Pelodiscus sinensis: one gene and its partner. The main gene of each other region encodes a partner of the protein of the gene in region 2 in a complex. Links are inferred from orthologs where the notes say so. Each region holds a gene or a part of one and is shown on either strand. Other genes may lie near its edges.

The links. The genes of interacting proteins can lie anywhere in the genome.
Region 1: the proteins of THOC2 (region 2) and THOC1 are in contact, whole or in part, in a cryo-EM structure (PDB 7ZNL), measured with the Homo sapiens proteins. The link is inferred for Pelodiscus sinensis from reciprocal best matches to the Homo sapiens genes THOC2 and THOC1. Residues at the interface, in NP_001075019.1 of Homo sapiens: Leu155, Phe156, Tyr157, Lys158, Gln160, Asn163, Leu164, Leu165, Arg166, Asn169, Glu170, Ala173, Lys174, Ile176, Ala177, Gly180, Gln181, Asn195, Lys197, Ser198, Leu199, Ile200, Gly201, Cys202, Phe203, Asn204, Leu205, Pro207, Asn208, Arg209; in NP_005122.2 of Homo sapiens: Asn134, Arg138, Asn141, Leu144, Arg145, Lys149, Thr153, Cys156, Gly157, Gln160, Leu161, Ala164, Arg165, Phe167, Gln242, Phe245, Arg246, Tyr297, Ala299, Lys300, Phe301, Arg319, His320, Leu323, Gln324, Ile327, Tyr331, Arg373, Phe374, Lys376.

The regions. Positions count from the first base shown.
Region 1 is NC_134712.1:79,537,470-79,545,343, forward strand, and holds the start of THOC1 (THO complex subunit 1), read right to left. Parts: upstream 3,019-7,874; 5' UTR 2,928-3,018; coding exon 2,868-2,927; intron 1-2,867. UniProt on the Homo sapiens protein: Component of the THO subcomplex of the TREX complex which is thought to couple mRNA transcription, processing and nuclear export, and which specifically associates with spliced mRNA and not with unspliced pre-mRNA.
Region 2 is NC_134723.1:32,406,295-32,413,170, forward strand, and holds the start of THOC2 (THO complex subunit 2), read left to right. Parts: upstream 1-3,867; 5' UTR 3,868-3,950; coding exon 3,951-4,018; intron 4,019-6,876. UniProt on the Homo sapiens protein: Component of the THO subcomplex of the TREX complex which is thought to couple mRNA transcription, processing and nuclear export, and which specifically associates with spliced mRNA and not with unspliced pre-mRNA.

The sequences.
Region 1 (7,874 bases), on a different chromosome or scaffold from region 2:
GGATGAGACCCCAAGTCAAAGATTTCCTCATCCATCCCTGAGGCTCTGGTAGAAAAACATGTCTCCTCCTCCAGTGCCCTTCCTACATGAAGATGAACCTGGTTTCTTGATTTTCCTTGCTACAAGAGCTATGTGAGCTTCAGCTCTAGAATTAGGGCTCCTATGCACCACGATAATTGAAATACTTATTAGTATTAATTATTTTTGTAAGAATGGAAGGAAGAATGGTTAAGGCTCTGTGCCGGAATAAGGAAGAACCAGTTTACATGTTTCACACCATCCAACCACCTCTGTGGCTCCAATTGGTGGACCAGGTGCAGATGCCTTTTATTCCTCTTGTACATTGGATCTGTCTGACTGCATAGTAATCTTCCTTCAAGTTTGTCCCTGGGGAAGATGCTAAGTTTGTTTTGAAACGATACCTAAGCAGCCAAGTCTATTGCTTTCTCCAGAACACACGAAAGTGAAAGAGTTGAGGCTGGCCTACACCAAAGCCAGGGAGTGGAGCTCCCGTTCAGGGGCAGCACCCCAATCATATCCCTATACAAGCCCCTCCACCACATCCTAGGAGGGGAGTCGGTCCCTTTCCCCACTTGCCTAAGGACACCTTCCTGGAGCTCTCCCGAGGAAACTCCACTCCAGTGCTTCACCACCCTCCTGGGACAACGGCAAGAGAATCGTATCTGCCTGAGTATGGCCCCAACTGTTGATCTCCCCACGCAAAACTGGTTCCCGGCAGAGCAGTAACTGTCTGGTGTGGTGAGCTTCCAAAGTGTGATGGTGACCCACTTCTGGAAGGGGATGGCGGGTTCCATGTGCGTATCCCTTGCAGAGCTCCAGGAAGGTGTCCTTAAGCACATGGAAGTTCTACAGCCACTACTGGTCATCCCGTTGCTCCATGACAATCTGGCCCCACCAGCTGGAACCTGTTGCTAGTCGCCAGAAGTGGCAGTGCCTGGTGTGCAGGGTAGGGTGGGAGAGATCATGCTGCATGAGCAGTACGGAGAAAGAGGTGAGGAGGTGCCCTACAGGGAACAGTGTGTCCTGTTCCTGCAGTGCCATGTGGGCAGCATGCAATAACTGCACCAGGAGGCGTGGTAGCAGATCTAAGAGATGGCGATTACTTTCTAGCACATCTAGCTCCATGCCCTCAAGAGCAACCAGAGCAAGAAGTGAGATGAGTTTGCTGTCCTTCAAGGCAAAGGTGAAGAGCCTGAGACATGGCTGTAGAAGGTAGCCCTTTTAAGCATAAGCCTCAGATAGCCTCAGGCAGCAGCTACAGGAAATGACTGCTGTCCTGATGCTCTGCCCTGATGCTTCCAGGGGGCCTTAAGAGCTATTCAGGCTTCACTCAGTGTGGACACACTATTTTGATATATTTCTGCACTATTTTGATGGGCTTTTGTAGTGTGGAACATAGTATTTGAAATAGCTATTCTGGGAGTTATGATGCCAAAATAGCTTATTTGTACCGTCATAGTTCCAGTGTAGAGGTTGCACATGAAATCACCGGGAATGAATTGTGTAAGTTCAGAAATATCTCTAGTGCTATAGTGATTGAAAGGAAAGTTCTGTCTCCCTGATTTCTCTCATCATTTACATGATCCAAATCTAAATGCGTCATATTCACCACTAAACTAAATTAAAAGCTTGTGTGTGTGTTGTGTGTATCCTTTTTTTAATTAGATTTCTTTTTTTTTTGCCTCCTTTGGTTTTGTTGAATGTTACTTTGAAGTGAAATGTGGCTCTAATGCCTTGTGCCTCAAATTTTGCAATTTGCTGCATGAGCAGTATGGGGAAAGAGGTGATGAGGTGTTTCTGCAGTGCCATGTGGGCAGCATGCAATAACTGCACCAGGAGGTGTGGTAGCAGATCTAAGCGATTCATATTACAATCCATGAAGTTACGGCCCATGAAGTTAACAACTACTGTTTTGGTTTTGAGGGAGTTGGCAGGTATATAATAAAGTATTCATATGGACACGCTTAAGTGCTTTGTTGTGTGGAAACTCCATACTTTGCAAAAGTAATACAATGCATTTATGGCAGAGCAAGGAAGATTTCCTTCATATAAAATGAGCCAGGAAGACCAATGATCTTGATCTGTGACAGATTGCTGCACACAAAAAGCTTCTTTTTGTTGGGGAGAACAAAAAATGGAGCCCCATGCCATTTGTACTAATGAAAGAGGAGACCTAAGAAATCAGTCTGGAATGTTTGAAGTATGGGGGTTGGATGCCCTCTTTGCAAGTCCTGCATCACCTGACAGTTCAACTTACAAAACAACAGTCACAATGTTACTAGCTTCCCAAAAGTAAACAGTACTTACCATTGGGTCCTACATTAGCAGGTGGGGCACTGCTGACTCCCTAAAGTGCCCACAAGTCCGTGGGACATGCCTCGGCTGAGTGAGTTTGTGAGGCCCCGCCCGGGGTCAGGGCAGGCGGACAGACATGGGGTTAATACAAATAGTCATCAGTTCACAGTTTAAGGTGCCTTGGGTCAGGGCGACAAGTGTCTATTAAAGCTCTGTCTGGGTCCCAGCCGGACAGGGGTCGGGTCTCCTCGCTCTGCGAGAGCCGACAAGCACAAGGGTTTTGGCCCCACAGGGGGAACCTGCCACTCAGGGGAAAGGGTTGCAGGGGGGACGCAGGCCCTCCCTACTCCACCGCATCCCGCACCAGGGCCCTAACAGTGCCAAGGCAGCAGCCACTGGACCGGCAGAGCTCCAGGCCATAGCGCGCCGTCCAGGTCAATGGGAGTCCAAGCCACAGCGCCCTGCCCACCTGACCTCCACTTCTTCAGCCTTCCCAGGATCGGCTGTCCCTGAGTCACTTTCCAACCCCCCTCCTCCCTCCATGGGCCTACCCAATTCTGGCGACAGTCCGGTGGATACTCGGGCAACAGCGGGGTTGGCAGGGTGTCCATGGGCTCCGGTTCAGGCAGGACTCCAGGTGGGCCAGCACAGTTGTTGGTAGCCAGCAAGCGTGCTATCAGGATCAGCGTGCATTCAGGCAGCAGCCAGTGTCCCAGGCCAGAGCTCTGAGGTTGGCAGGGGTCCACGCAGCCCAACCCAGTTCTTGGACCAGGGGCAGTGCGGCCGAGGCCTACGCTGTGGGAGTTACGGCCAGGTGTTGGCTTGGCTTAGTTACCTGGCTCCGACTGAACCTGTGGCTCTTATAGCCCCAGACCCGCCCTCTGACCTCCTGTGGGCGGGGCTAGGTGTGGCTGGACCCGCCCACCAAGGGGTCATAGAGGGCACTTCCTCTTCCGGGTCAGCAGGCAGCCATGTTGCTGTCCCAGACTCATTACAGTCCCATAACACCACCATAAAATGATGACTATTTCATGCAAAGCATCACATCATATAAAAAGTCTGAAGCCAGTTGTTCTGTTCAAATGCTTATCAATAGTGTGCATGAAGTTATGAGATTTTGCCAAATGGTTGTTACTGAAATATGCTGTAATTTTGAGAGTCTTTAATGCTAGGTGATGAACCACTTCCAGGATGGTATTAAACATTCATTAATCAATAGGGGAGTTCTAATCAAAGGGTATACAATTCAATAACAATTGTGCAAGCACCAAACAATGGAGACTGTCCAATTCTAGGATGCAGTTGCACAAGATCACATCAGTGGTATTGCTTAGCCTTGTGACTCAGGAAAGTCCATCAGGACATGTCTTCATCGGAGCAAGTGTCTCATAGGTACGTGGACTAAGGATACAAGATAGACAAAAGCCTGGTGCCACTGTTCCCTTTCTCTTCCCCCACATATGCTGGAAGGAGGAACAAGAATGCTTGGAAGACAAAGACTTCAACTGAGGAGACTGGACCAGGGAGAAGCCTGTGTATTAAGAACTGTAATATCTAGGGGGTGAGAATACTGCTTGACCTAAATACTGCATAATATAATAAGGTTTAAGAGTTAGATTGTGTGCTTAGCTTCTATTTTCTTTGGTAACTATCTCTGATCATTTATGTCTACCACTTAAAGGGTGCCTCTACACTGTGCCTGTAGCTTGAAATAAGATACGCAATTTGAGCTACGCAAATTGCATATTTTATTTTAATCATATTTTGAAATAGCTAATTTCAAAATTTGGCACTGTCTACACAGCACCTATTTCAAAATAAATTGCTATTCTGAAAAGTCCCTTACCCCTCTAATGCTCATTAGAGGGATGTCAGAATAGCGAGCCCATTATATTTCGAAATAACGGGTGTGCTCAAAAGACGCAGAATAGCTATTTCGGGATACCTCCAGTATCCCGAAATAGTGCTGCAGTGCAGATGTAGCCTACAGAATCTCTCTCTCTCTCTCTATTTAATAAATCTGTTTGATATTTTACCCAGAACAGTGTTTTCCTTGAAGTGCTTGGGAAATCTCAGCTCAGGTTAGAAAGGCTAGAGTGTGTCCTCTCCACATTGAAGGATGGGTGGACTGTGTAAGAAATATACACTGGTCAGGCTTCTGACCAGGAAAAGATGGTGCACCTTTTGGGCAAAAGTCCAGGGAGGTGAGAGGAATTGGCTGGCTCCTTTCTCTTTAAGATTTGTGAGTGGATCTGGGAGCTGAATGATAAATAGCAAACCCTGCCAAGCACAGCTGTCACTTGCAAAGCATTGCGAGATAGCGCCCAGGCTGGAGAGTTAAAGATGCTCAGTGTTACCCCAGTTCCAGGTTGTACCCTGCCAATTCAGTCATAACTATCTGCCTCTGGACATAGTGACATTCTGTAACATCCTTTCAGACGTGACAATGCTCTGTCATTGGATAAGTATATTGTTCCATGTTTTAGTCGGAGTTGTTTTGTGGTAAGTTTGCAGAAAACGAGAGAAATTATGTTGCACAAGTCTACAGGAGGAAAAGGTTTCCAGAGGATGTGGTAATTTTATGTTTGTTGCAGCAAACAGACTTGTGTGTAATTTCAGAAACAGGTAGAGCTGCATACTGTGGGTGTCACTTTGAAATGGGAATGCAGAATCCCAACTCCCTGGAACATCTCTTTCAGATCAGTTTGTGTCTAAACTTTGCAATTCAGGCTCACTCAATAACATTGACTAATGAATATTTCCTAAAGTGGGGAAGGAGAGGGACCTTCCCCCTGCTAAATTTTCTCCAGCCCGTGGCAAGTCTGCGCACCATGGGCTGGAATCCCTGACTCTCAGCTCCCTCCCAGTCATGGGGCTAGAATCACAAGCACTGGCTATCCCCATTGTGGGGGAAGATATGGTGCCAGACTGGTCAGCTGCACCTGCAGCCCTGTATGTGCAGGGGTCATCAATTAGAGTCCATGTGCACCTGCCCCCATCAATGGGTCAGGAGAACTGAGGGAGCTGCATCTGTAGGCATGGCTACAAAGACTAGGCTAATGGACCTTTCTTGCCCATGTAGTTGCTATATGCAATGAATCATGTCCCATCAGCTTGAATTCTGGAAGAATGAAATAAAGATATTTGACGTGAAATTCTTCATCTGCTGTTGAAGGGTATGTCTACACTACAGCGCTAATTCGAACTTAATTCAAATTAGTTAATTCGAACTAAGCTAATTCGAACTAGTGCATCTAGACCTAAAAACTAGTTCAAATTAGCGTTTTGCTAATTCGAACTAGCATGTCCACATTGAGTGGACCCTGAACCGGGGTTAAGGATGGCCAGAAGCAGTGCCGGCAGGGCATCAGATGAGGACTTAGAGCGTGGAGCTGCTGTCTCAGGCTAGCCGAGGGCTGTGCTTAAAAGGACCCGACCCCCACCCCGGACAGACAGTTCTCAGGGGTTCCCTGTTCACTTGTCTAACTTGATGAGGGACAGCAAAGCAGTCCTGGCTTCAAGTGCCCACACTCGGCCATCAGCCCGGCTGCACTCGCCATAGGCTGCCATCCGGGGACGGGGGTTAATCGGGGGGCTGCAGGAGAGCTTCCACCCCGAGGAGCCCGCAGAGCCAGCCCAGTCCTCCCCATCGGGGGCTCGTACCCCAGTCCTCCCTCACCTCCTTCCACTTACCCCTCCCTAGCCCCCCTTCCTGATGTACAAAATAAAGGACATGTGTGTTCAAAAATAGAAACTCTCTTTATTGAGCAAAACTTGGGGAGACTGGGAAAAGGAGGTGGGAGAGGGGAAGAGAGAGGGTGGGAGAGGGGAGGGCAACTAAAATGATCAGGGGTTTGGAACAGGTCCCATATGAAGAGAGGCTAAAGAGACTGGGACTTCTCAGCTTAGAAAAGAGGAGACTGAGGTGGGATATGATAGAGGTCTATAAAAGCATGAGTGGTGTGGAAAGGGTGCATAAAGAAATGTTCTTCATTAGTTCCCATAATAGGAGGACTAGAGGACACCAAATGAAATGAATGGGTAGCAGGCTTCAAACTAATAACAGAAAGTTCTTCTTCACAAACCAAATAGTCAACTTGTGGAACTCCTTGCTGCAGGAGGCTGTGAAGGCTAGAACTAGAACAGAGTTTAAAGAGAAGTGAGATAAAGTCATGGAGGTTGGGTCCATGGAGTGCTATTAGCCAGGGGGTAGAAATGGTGTCCCTGGCCTCTGTTTGTGGAAGGCTGGAGATGGATGGCACGAGACAAATGGCTTGGTCATTGTCTTCGGTCCATTCCCTCCAGGGTACCTAGTGTTGGCCGCTGTTGGCAGACTACTGGGCTAGATGGACCTTTGGTCTGACCCAGTACGGCCATTCTAAGCTCAGGGCTCAGGGTCGGGGGTCTCACTGGACCACCTTGATTTTCATACATACTTGCTCCTGGGTGGCCAGGCTGGCAGCTATCCTGCCCTAGACGGCCACTTTCCTGTGCCTAGTGCGGAGGTCGTGGATGAGGTCCACGATGTCTGCACTAGACCAGGCGGGCGCCCGCCTCTTGCAGACCTGGGCAGGCTCCCGAGAGCTGCCAGCCTGGTCCCGGGAAGAGGCAGAGGGCTGGGTGGCAGCGGGTGGCTGGCTCGAGCTGTGCCAGGTGCAGGGTCTGCTGGCTGGGTGCTGGCAGGCTTGCACCTGGCACGGGCACCGTAGCCAGCCCATGCCCCTTTAAGGACTCTGGGGCCGGGAGGGGGGCAGAAGAGTTTCCCTGGTGGTGCCCAGTGGCCACCAGGGAAAGCTGGGGAGGGCTAGCCTCCCACTAGTTCGAATGAAATAGCTACACAGCCCTTAATTCAAACTACTTAATTCGAACTAGGCGTTAGTCCTCGTGGAATGAGGTTTACCTAGTTCGAATTAAGTGCTCCGCTAGTTCGAATTAAGTTCGAACTAGCGGTTTGCTAGTGTAGCACCTATCAAAGTTAATTCAAACTAACGTCTGTTAGTTTGAATTAACTTTGTAGTGTAGACATACCCGTATAGACTCAGCGCTGGAACTAGGAAACAAAAGCAGAGTCTCCCAGGATCAACTTGGCTAACCCCTAAGAAAAGACATTTAGAGCTGATTGTATTTTTCCCTAATTAATAAATCCTTAGTTAGTTTAGGATTGGCTACAAGCATTGTCTTTGGTGAGCTCAAAGGTACAAATTGACCTGGGGTAAGTGACTGCTCTCTTGGGATTGGAAGCAATGGAAATATTTTCTGATATGTGGTGTGTACTTGACCATTTATCACCAAGCTCAGATTGCCCAGGTAGCTAAATAGACAGGAGTGCCTAAAAGGATTGTCTGTGACTGGAAAAACAATGAATAGTCTAGCAATGCCTTAAAGACTAAGAAAATATGTAGATGGTATTGCGAGCTTTTGAAGGCACAATCCACTCCTTTGATGAAGTAGATTATGCCCTTGAAACTCATGATACCATCTGCATGTTTTCTTGGTCTTTAAGGTGCTGCTAGTCTGTAACTGGAAAAACTTAAAAAAAAAAAGTCTAACTCAGGTAC
Region 2 (6,876 bases):
TTACTGAAATTGTCTTTTTTCCTTATTCATAACCGGCTTTTTCTCTTTGTTATAATGTATCTTTTTTACACCTAATTGTTTTTGATTAACTGCATTTGTCTCTGATAGTTTTTCACTTAAAGTGGTGATGGAGCAAGGCTAGACAACTAATTATTTTACTTCACTGGCTATCCACGGCAGGACAACTGCCTCCGATTTGAATGGATCATCTCCAAGACGTATTATCACCTATCTGGTGACTAACTCTGCACTGATTAGGCCTCAGCTGGAGTACTGTGTCCAGTTCTGGGCACCACATTTCAAGAAAGATGGGAAGAAATTGGAGGTCCCGAGATGAGGTACAAAAATTATAAAAGGGCTAGAAAACATGAGCTATGAGGCAAGGCTGAAGGAATTGAGCTTGTTTAGTTTAGAAAAGAGGAGATTGAGAGAGGACAAGATAGTGGTTTTCAAGGATCTAAAAGGGTGTCACACGGAGGGAGAAAAATTGTTTTTCCTGGCCTCTGATCACAGAACAAGAAGCAATGGGCTTAAACTGCAGCAAGGGACATACATCTAGGTTGGACATTAGGAAAAACTTCCTGTCAGAGTAGTTAAACAGTGGAATAAATTGCCTAGGGAAGTTGTGGAATTTCCATTTCTAGAGATATTTAAGAGCAGGTTAGGTAGACATCTATTAGGAATGATCTTCTAAGCAGTGCTTGATCCTGCTGTGAGGGCAGGGGACTGGACTCGATGACCTCTCAAGGTCCCTTCCAGTTCTAGTATTCTATGATTCTAGTTAAGATCTGGATTAGGCTTGTAAGAGATGCTGTGGAAGTGCCATCACTGAATTTTTAAAAAAACAGATTGGATAAACATCTATCAAGGACGGTTTAGGAGTGCATAGTCCTACTCAGTGAGGCAGGCTGAACTAGATGAGTTCTTAAGGTACCTTCCAACTCTACATTTTTATGATTTTATGAACATTTTGGGTCCTCTTTATTGAAAAAGCATCCAGCTCTGCAATGGCTGAATTTGGTGGGAAATTTACTTTACTACAGGTTGGACCTGCCTGTTCTGACACCCTCTGGTCCTGAGGGGTCCCAAACCCTGGAGTTTGCGAGACCAGGGCAGGTCAAGGCTCCTTTCTTGGCTGTCAGCCCGTCTTGGCCACCGGGGATTCTGCTTCCATCCCCCGCCAGAGCTCAACTTCCCCACTGCTGGCCGTGCTGCTTCTAGCCAACCAGGCTCCCTGGTCCAGCAATATCTGTGATCCTGCCAGAACATGGATGTTGCTAGACCAGAGTATCCTGGATTTTAGAGGTGCAATCTATATTCCATAAGTATAGACTCTGGTTTGTTTTCTATGATTTTGTTTTGTGATGTAACCACTATTTCTTATTACATCTTTATTTTTACTTTAATAAACCTTACTTAGCTTTATTTTAAGTGCTAACAAGTGCTGCATTGTCTGTAGGAATGGTGGCTCAAGATAAAACTGGTAAATTGGGGCTCACTGCACCTTGTTTACATGGAAGGCCAATATTAGCACAATGATGATATATTTTTAATTATTTTATATAAATGTTTTGGCCTTTTTGAAAAAAAGGTAAAAATACCACCTATTTTTCTCTTCATTCATTGCTCCCTTAAATCTATTCTGTTCCTCAGAGGGACACAAAAAAAGTAGCCTTTTTTCAAAAAAAAATTCACCTGCATCTAGACTGCAGCCGCGTTCTTTTGAAAGTAAATCGAAAAAAACCAGCAGTTTTTTCAATCGTGGTAAACCTCATTTTATGAGAAATAATGCCTTTTTTCGAAAGTACCGTTTCTAAAAAAGGCGCTATTGAATGCAAACTGTTCTTTTTCGAAAGAGAGCATCTAGACTCTTTCAAAAAAGCGGCTCCCTTTTTCAAAAAATCTGCTTGTTGTCTAGACGCTGTCTTTTGAAAGAGGCTTTTTTGAAAGATTCTTTCGAAAAAGCCTCTTTTGAAAGAGGCTTGTAGTTTAGATGTAGCTAAAGAGAGCCTCCAGCAAGTACTCCACTGGTAATAGTTTAGGAATTTCCTCTGAGATAATGGCTCAAGCCCATCAGAGACCAAAGACTCTGAATATACTTTAAAAGAAAAAAAAGACCCTGTATTCTTCAAATGTTGAAGTTTGAACTGTGAAACTAAGGCTTAGTCTACACTACAGTTAGAGTGGCATAAGGCAAATTATTCTCACTGATGTAAGTAGCCTGCTACACTAACTTAGGCCTTGTCTATACTATTGCAGACCATCGACTTATGTTACTGCAGTATCTTCACAGCAGTAAGTTGACAGCTGATGCTCTCCTGTCGACTCCGCTTAACTCTTCTGGTTTTGGTGGTGTATCAAGAGTCAACGGGAGAGCGCTCGGTGGTCAATTTATCTAGACATGACAAACTGACCCTTTGCTTACATGATCACTGCCTATTGATCCAGCCTAACATGAAGATATGTCCTTAGTAATTCCACCTCTGCAAGAGGCATAGCTCTTATGTCAATGCAGGATCAGTGTAGACACTGCATTGCTTACATCACATCACATCACCATTTGCTGCCTATCAGAGCCTCACTGCCCGGAACTGACATCTAGAGTTCTGCCACTTGGGGCTGATAGCATAGCAAGTAACTTAAGGTGACTTAATTTTGTAGACCTGCCCTAAGATTTCTGAAATGAAGGGACCATTCTTTCTTTTCAATAGATTTAGAATATAACTATCAACCTATCTGTATGACAATTAACAGATTAAATGACTTTTTACACACAAACAAGTTTTGTAGTCCTTGACTGCAACTCTATCACTGAAACCTACAAATTAATATTACTACTATAAATTCGTATAACAGAGCTACAGAATTAGATAAGTCTTACTGATACCCTTTTGCTAAATATCTCAGAATACATTTATTTTAACAAGTATGTGAAGTCACAGACATATGCATGGATTTTGGCTGAGACTATAAGGGAGAGACATGGGGAAATGTCCCTGCAAACCCGGAGCTATTGATATGGGATAGGTGGAGGCCTGGTGTTGTGGCACATTTGGTGTAAAGTTGCTGGGTACCCAGTGTCCCCAAGACATAGGGGAGGGGGAGTTAGTGGAGAACAGATGTTACCATTGTGATGGGCAGCCTGCTAGAGTTTTTTTTGGAGGGGGTGGGGGGCAGCGATTGATGGTCTGGTGTTATTTGGGGAAGTTGATAGTATTCATTGGGTGGATTGTAGGGATCCAGATGTATTTGGGGTAGATTGGTGAGGTCCAGGGGTTACTGGTGTTTTTGAGGGAAGACTGCAGAGGCCCACCGTATTTGGGAAACGTTGCAAGGTCCTGGTGCATTCATTGAGTGGATGATAGCAGTCTCGTTAATTGTAGGGGGATTGCTGGGCGTCCAGTGTATTTGGGAAACTTGCCGGGGCGGGGGGGGGGGGGGGGGCGGGGATATATTTATAAGATAAATGACAAGGGCTCGGGTGGTGCACTGCAGGAAGGGCTGGAAGTATTTTGGGTGGGTTGCTTGTGGCCCAGCTGTATGGGGGGGGCAGGTGGCGGATGTACTGGAAGAAGGGGCGGGGGCCATGGTGTGACTGGCGGGGGGGTCAGGAGTCACCCCTATATTGGGGGGGCTCAAGTGTTACCAGTGTGGGGGGAGGGGGGTAGCTAGGTACCGGAGTGTCTGGGGGCAGCTGGCGCGGGACTCGCTGGGCCCGGCGTTGTGTAGCCGCGGGCGGGCGCCGCTGCCGAAACTCAGCAGCCGCCCGTGGCCGGTTCCGCGCGCGCAGCGCGGGCTCGGGAGCCGTTCGGCAAGAGAGCGCGCGCACGTTCGTCTCCCAGGCTGCTCTAGGCCCGTTTCCCATCATGCCTGGCGGGAGGGCCGGCCCGTCCCCTCTGACCCCGTCCCGTCGCTCGCCTCATCCGGGCTCTCGGCGCCACACGGGGAAGATGGCGGCGGCGGGGGCGCTCCCTGCCGAGTGGATAAAGAACTGGGAGAAATCGGGCAAGAGCGAGTTGTGAGTGCGGGGCGGCGTGGGGGGAGGAGCGGACCGGGCCGGCGCTGGAGGCTAGGGCGGCCCGCCGGCCGGTCCGTAGGGGCCGGAGTTTGGGGCCCGGTCGGGTGGAGGGGCCGGGAGCTGGGTGGAGGGCAGAGTTCCGGGCTGAGTTCCCCGCACCGCTCCCTAAAGGGCCGAGCGAGCGTCCCCCACCGGCTCGGTGCCCTTTCACCCTGGCGCTCTCCCTTGGGCCTGACTCCTTCACGTCCCCCCTCCCCCGGCCTAGTTGTCCGGGCTCCCGGTGCTCTAGCGCCAAGCGCCCCGTTCCAGGCTTTGGGCCAAGCTCCCCCGACCGTTGGCCCCGTTTGATCGCCCGTACCTCCGCCCCCGCGGCTGTCGGGTTCGCCCGCTTTCCCCTGTGCCGAAGCGTCAGGCGCCCCAGTGTTGAGCGTAGTTGCAAGGGCCTCAGTCCCGAAATTCCTCCATCCGAAGGATTTAACGCCCGCGCTTCTTCCCCGATCCAGCCCAGAGCGAGGATCGTTCATCCCATCAACTCTTCTGTCATGGGCCCTTTGTGTGCCAAGAGAGTTCCGCCCAGCCCTCCCCACAAATCCATTTAGCGCTCCTGGCCTTGGCAGAGAATGATCTTGTCAGTATCACCCTAAGTCCTAAGAGGTGGCCATTCTGGCAGTATGTTGTCCACTGTGTATTGGGATTGCCTCTGATCAGAAGGTTTGATTTGACATTCACAATTTCCTCAACTGAACAATGACTTGGGCTGAAAACTTTTTAATATTGTAGATTAATCGGAAGAGTTCTTAAAAACTTTAATTTATTTGCTTTTTTATTAAGAGACACCTTCAAAGTTAAATGTTAAAGACTATTTTGTGGTGCATTTCAATGAGACATAGTATTCACATCATTAATTTTCCTTCATTTGGTATAGCTGTACAGCCCTCTGAAACAGGATGAGAAGAACGGGTGAGGTAGATGGAGAATGTAGAGGCCTTCTACATTACCATTCTTCCCTTGACCTTTTTCATTAGGTAGTGGAAGAGGGAAAGCCTTGTTGTCAGTGCCCTTGCATCATGATACAGGCTTGACATAACCGTGGCTTAAACATGTTTTGATCTATACTAAAAACTAGACTGTATTATGACCAAATAATCAGCTATATAGTAAGTCACCTGACAGTAATAACTGCAGTATAGATGAGCTTATAAAGAAATGTATGTTCAAACTATTTTTAAACTTTCCCTGTTTAGGATTCTGTGTTAACAACTGAATTCACAAAAAAATTTGAAAGATATAGTCAGTAAATAGATTGTTAGCCAGTGTCTATACATTTTTGTAGAAGAATAAAATATATAAATATATTCGTTCAGTATCTATTAAAATATGTAACTAAGTGTAGGTCACTAAACAGTATTTTTTTATATAGTATAGCCATGGTGTCCAACCAGTTTTGAATCAGTAGCCACTCTCATGACTTAGCCACACTCAACTGGCCAAATTGGCACATTTTTCAAGCCAACTAGCCACACTCAACTGGCCAAATAACCACATCTGGCTAGTGGCTAGCATGTTGGACACCATGGTAGTAGAGGTTTGACATAAAAAGGATGTATGTCAGGACTTACCTTTTTTGTGTGTGTGTGTGAGGTTATTACTTCTATCTGAGTTAGGAAGCTGTTCAATATGATTAATTTTGAAAAATACCTTATGACAGGTAATACAGAGTTAATTTTGAAAGATAATTCATAGTTGATTGTGTAAAGATTTGTGCAGAGAAAGGGTGGTGTAGCTTAGCCTTTGGCTATTGTAGGATTCACACAGGTCAGCTAAACCACTTTCTAACAAAAGGCCAAGTATCTTAAAATGTTACACAAAAGTATTGTAATCCAGTCTTTGAATCCACAATCTTAAAAAACAGAAAAGAGTATACATTCATTTTGGTTCATTCATTTTGGCTTATCCAGTAGTGTTACTAGGTTAGAAGGGACAGTGTGTAAACCCTGTTTAAGAATAATTCCCAGACAGCCTGATTTAAACAAGAGGCTGTAAATTGCCAGTGAAGTGTGACTCTGTGTGTGCATAACAGCTGTCAGTTTTTGCTGAAACATTTTTATAAATCTTCTAAACCTACATATTAAATCTTTTAAAAGTAAAAAATTGTATCCGTATGAACCATTCCAAAAGATTTTTTGCACACGTAAAGACTGGCTTTCCTAGAAGTAGAAACTGAACAATTTTGCTAGAATTTTTGTTCTGAAATACTAACAAATCTTTGTGTTAATAAACAAAAGCAACCATTGATTGCATTTTTAGATGTCAAAATGAAATACATCAACATATTTTGTACCAGTTCTAGAAATGAAGAATTAGAAGCTTAGAAAGGATGCAAAGTGTTTTGCAGAAGGCCTAGAAAGATGATATTCCAGATCTAAGCAGTTTGCAATATAAATTAAACACATAGGACAATTAATAAAGTTGATAAACTCTGGGAAGGATATGAGCTGTAGAAGGACAACACCTGTAATTCTAGCGACTAAAGCCAAGTGACAGTTCTTAGCAAAACTTGTTTTACCCATCTTTTTCATTGGGGGCAAGCTCATTTTTAGACCAATGTTTAGTTTTTAAGTATGCTGGGGCTGGCCAGAACAGAAGCAACATACCAACTTTCACTCAAATAAAACCAGTAAATGTATTGGTAACAATTTGTGGTTGATAAGAAAAAAAGGTGAAAACAAATAAGAACATTCGCTAACTGCTGTTAGTGTAGGGTAACTTATGTGATCCAAAAAGATAAGAGTCTGAAATGATATAGTGGCGAAGTTATTAGTTATCTTTAGTAAAGTATTATTTTATAATTTGGGATC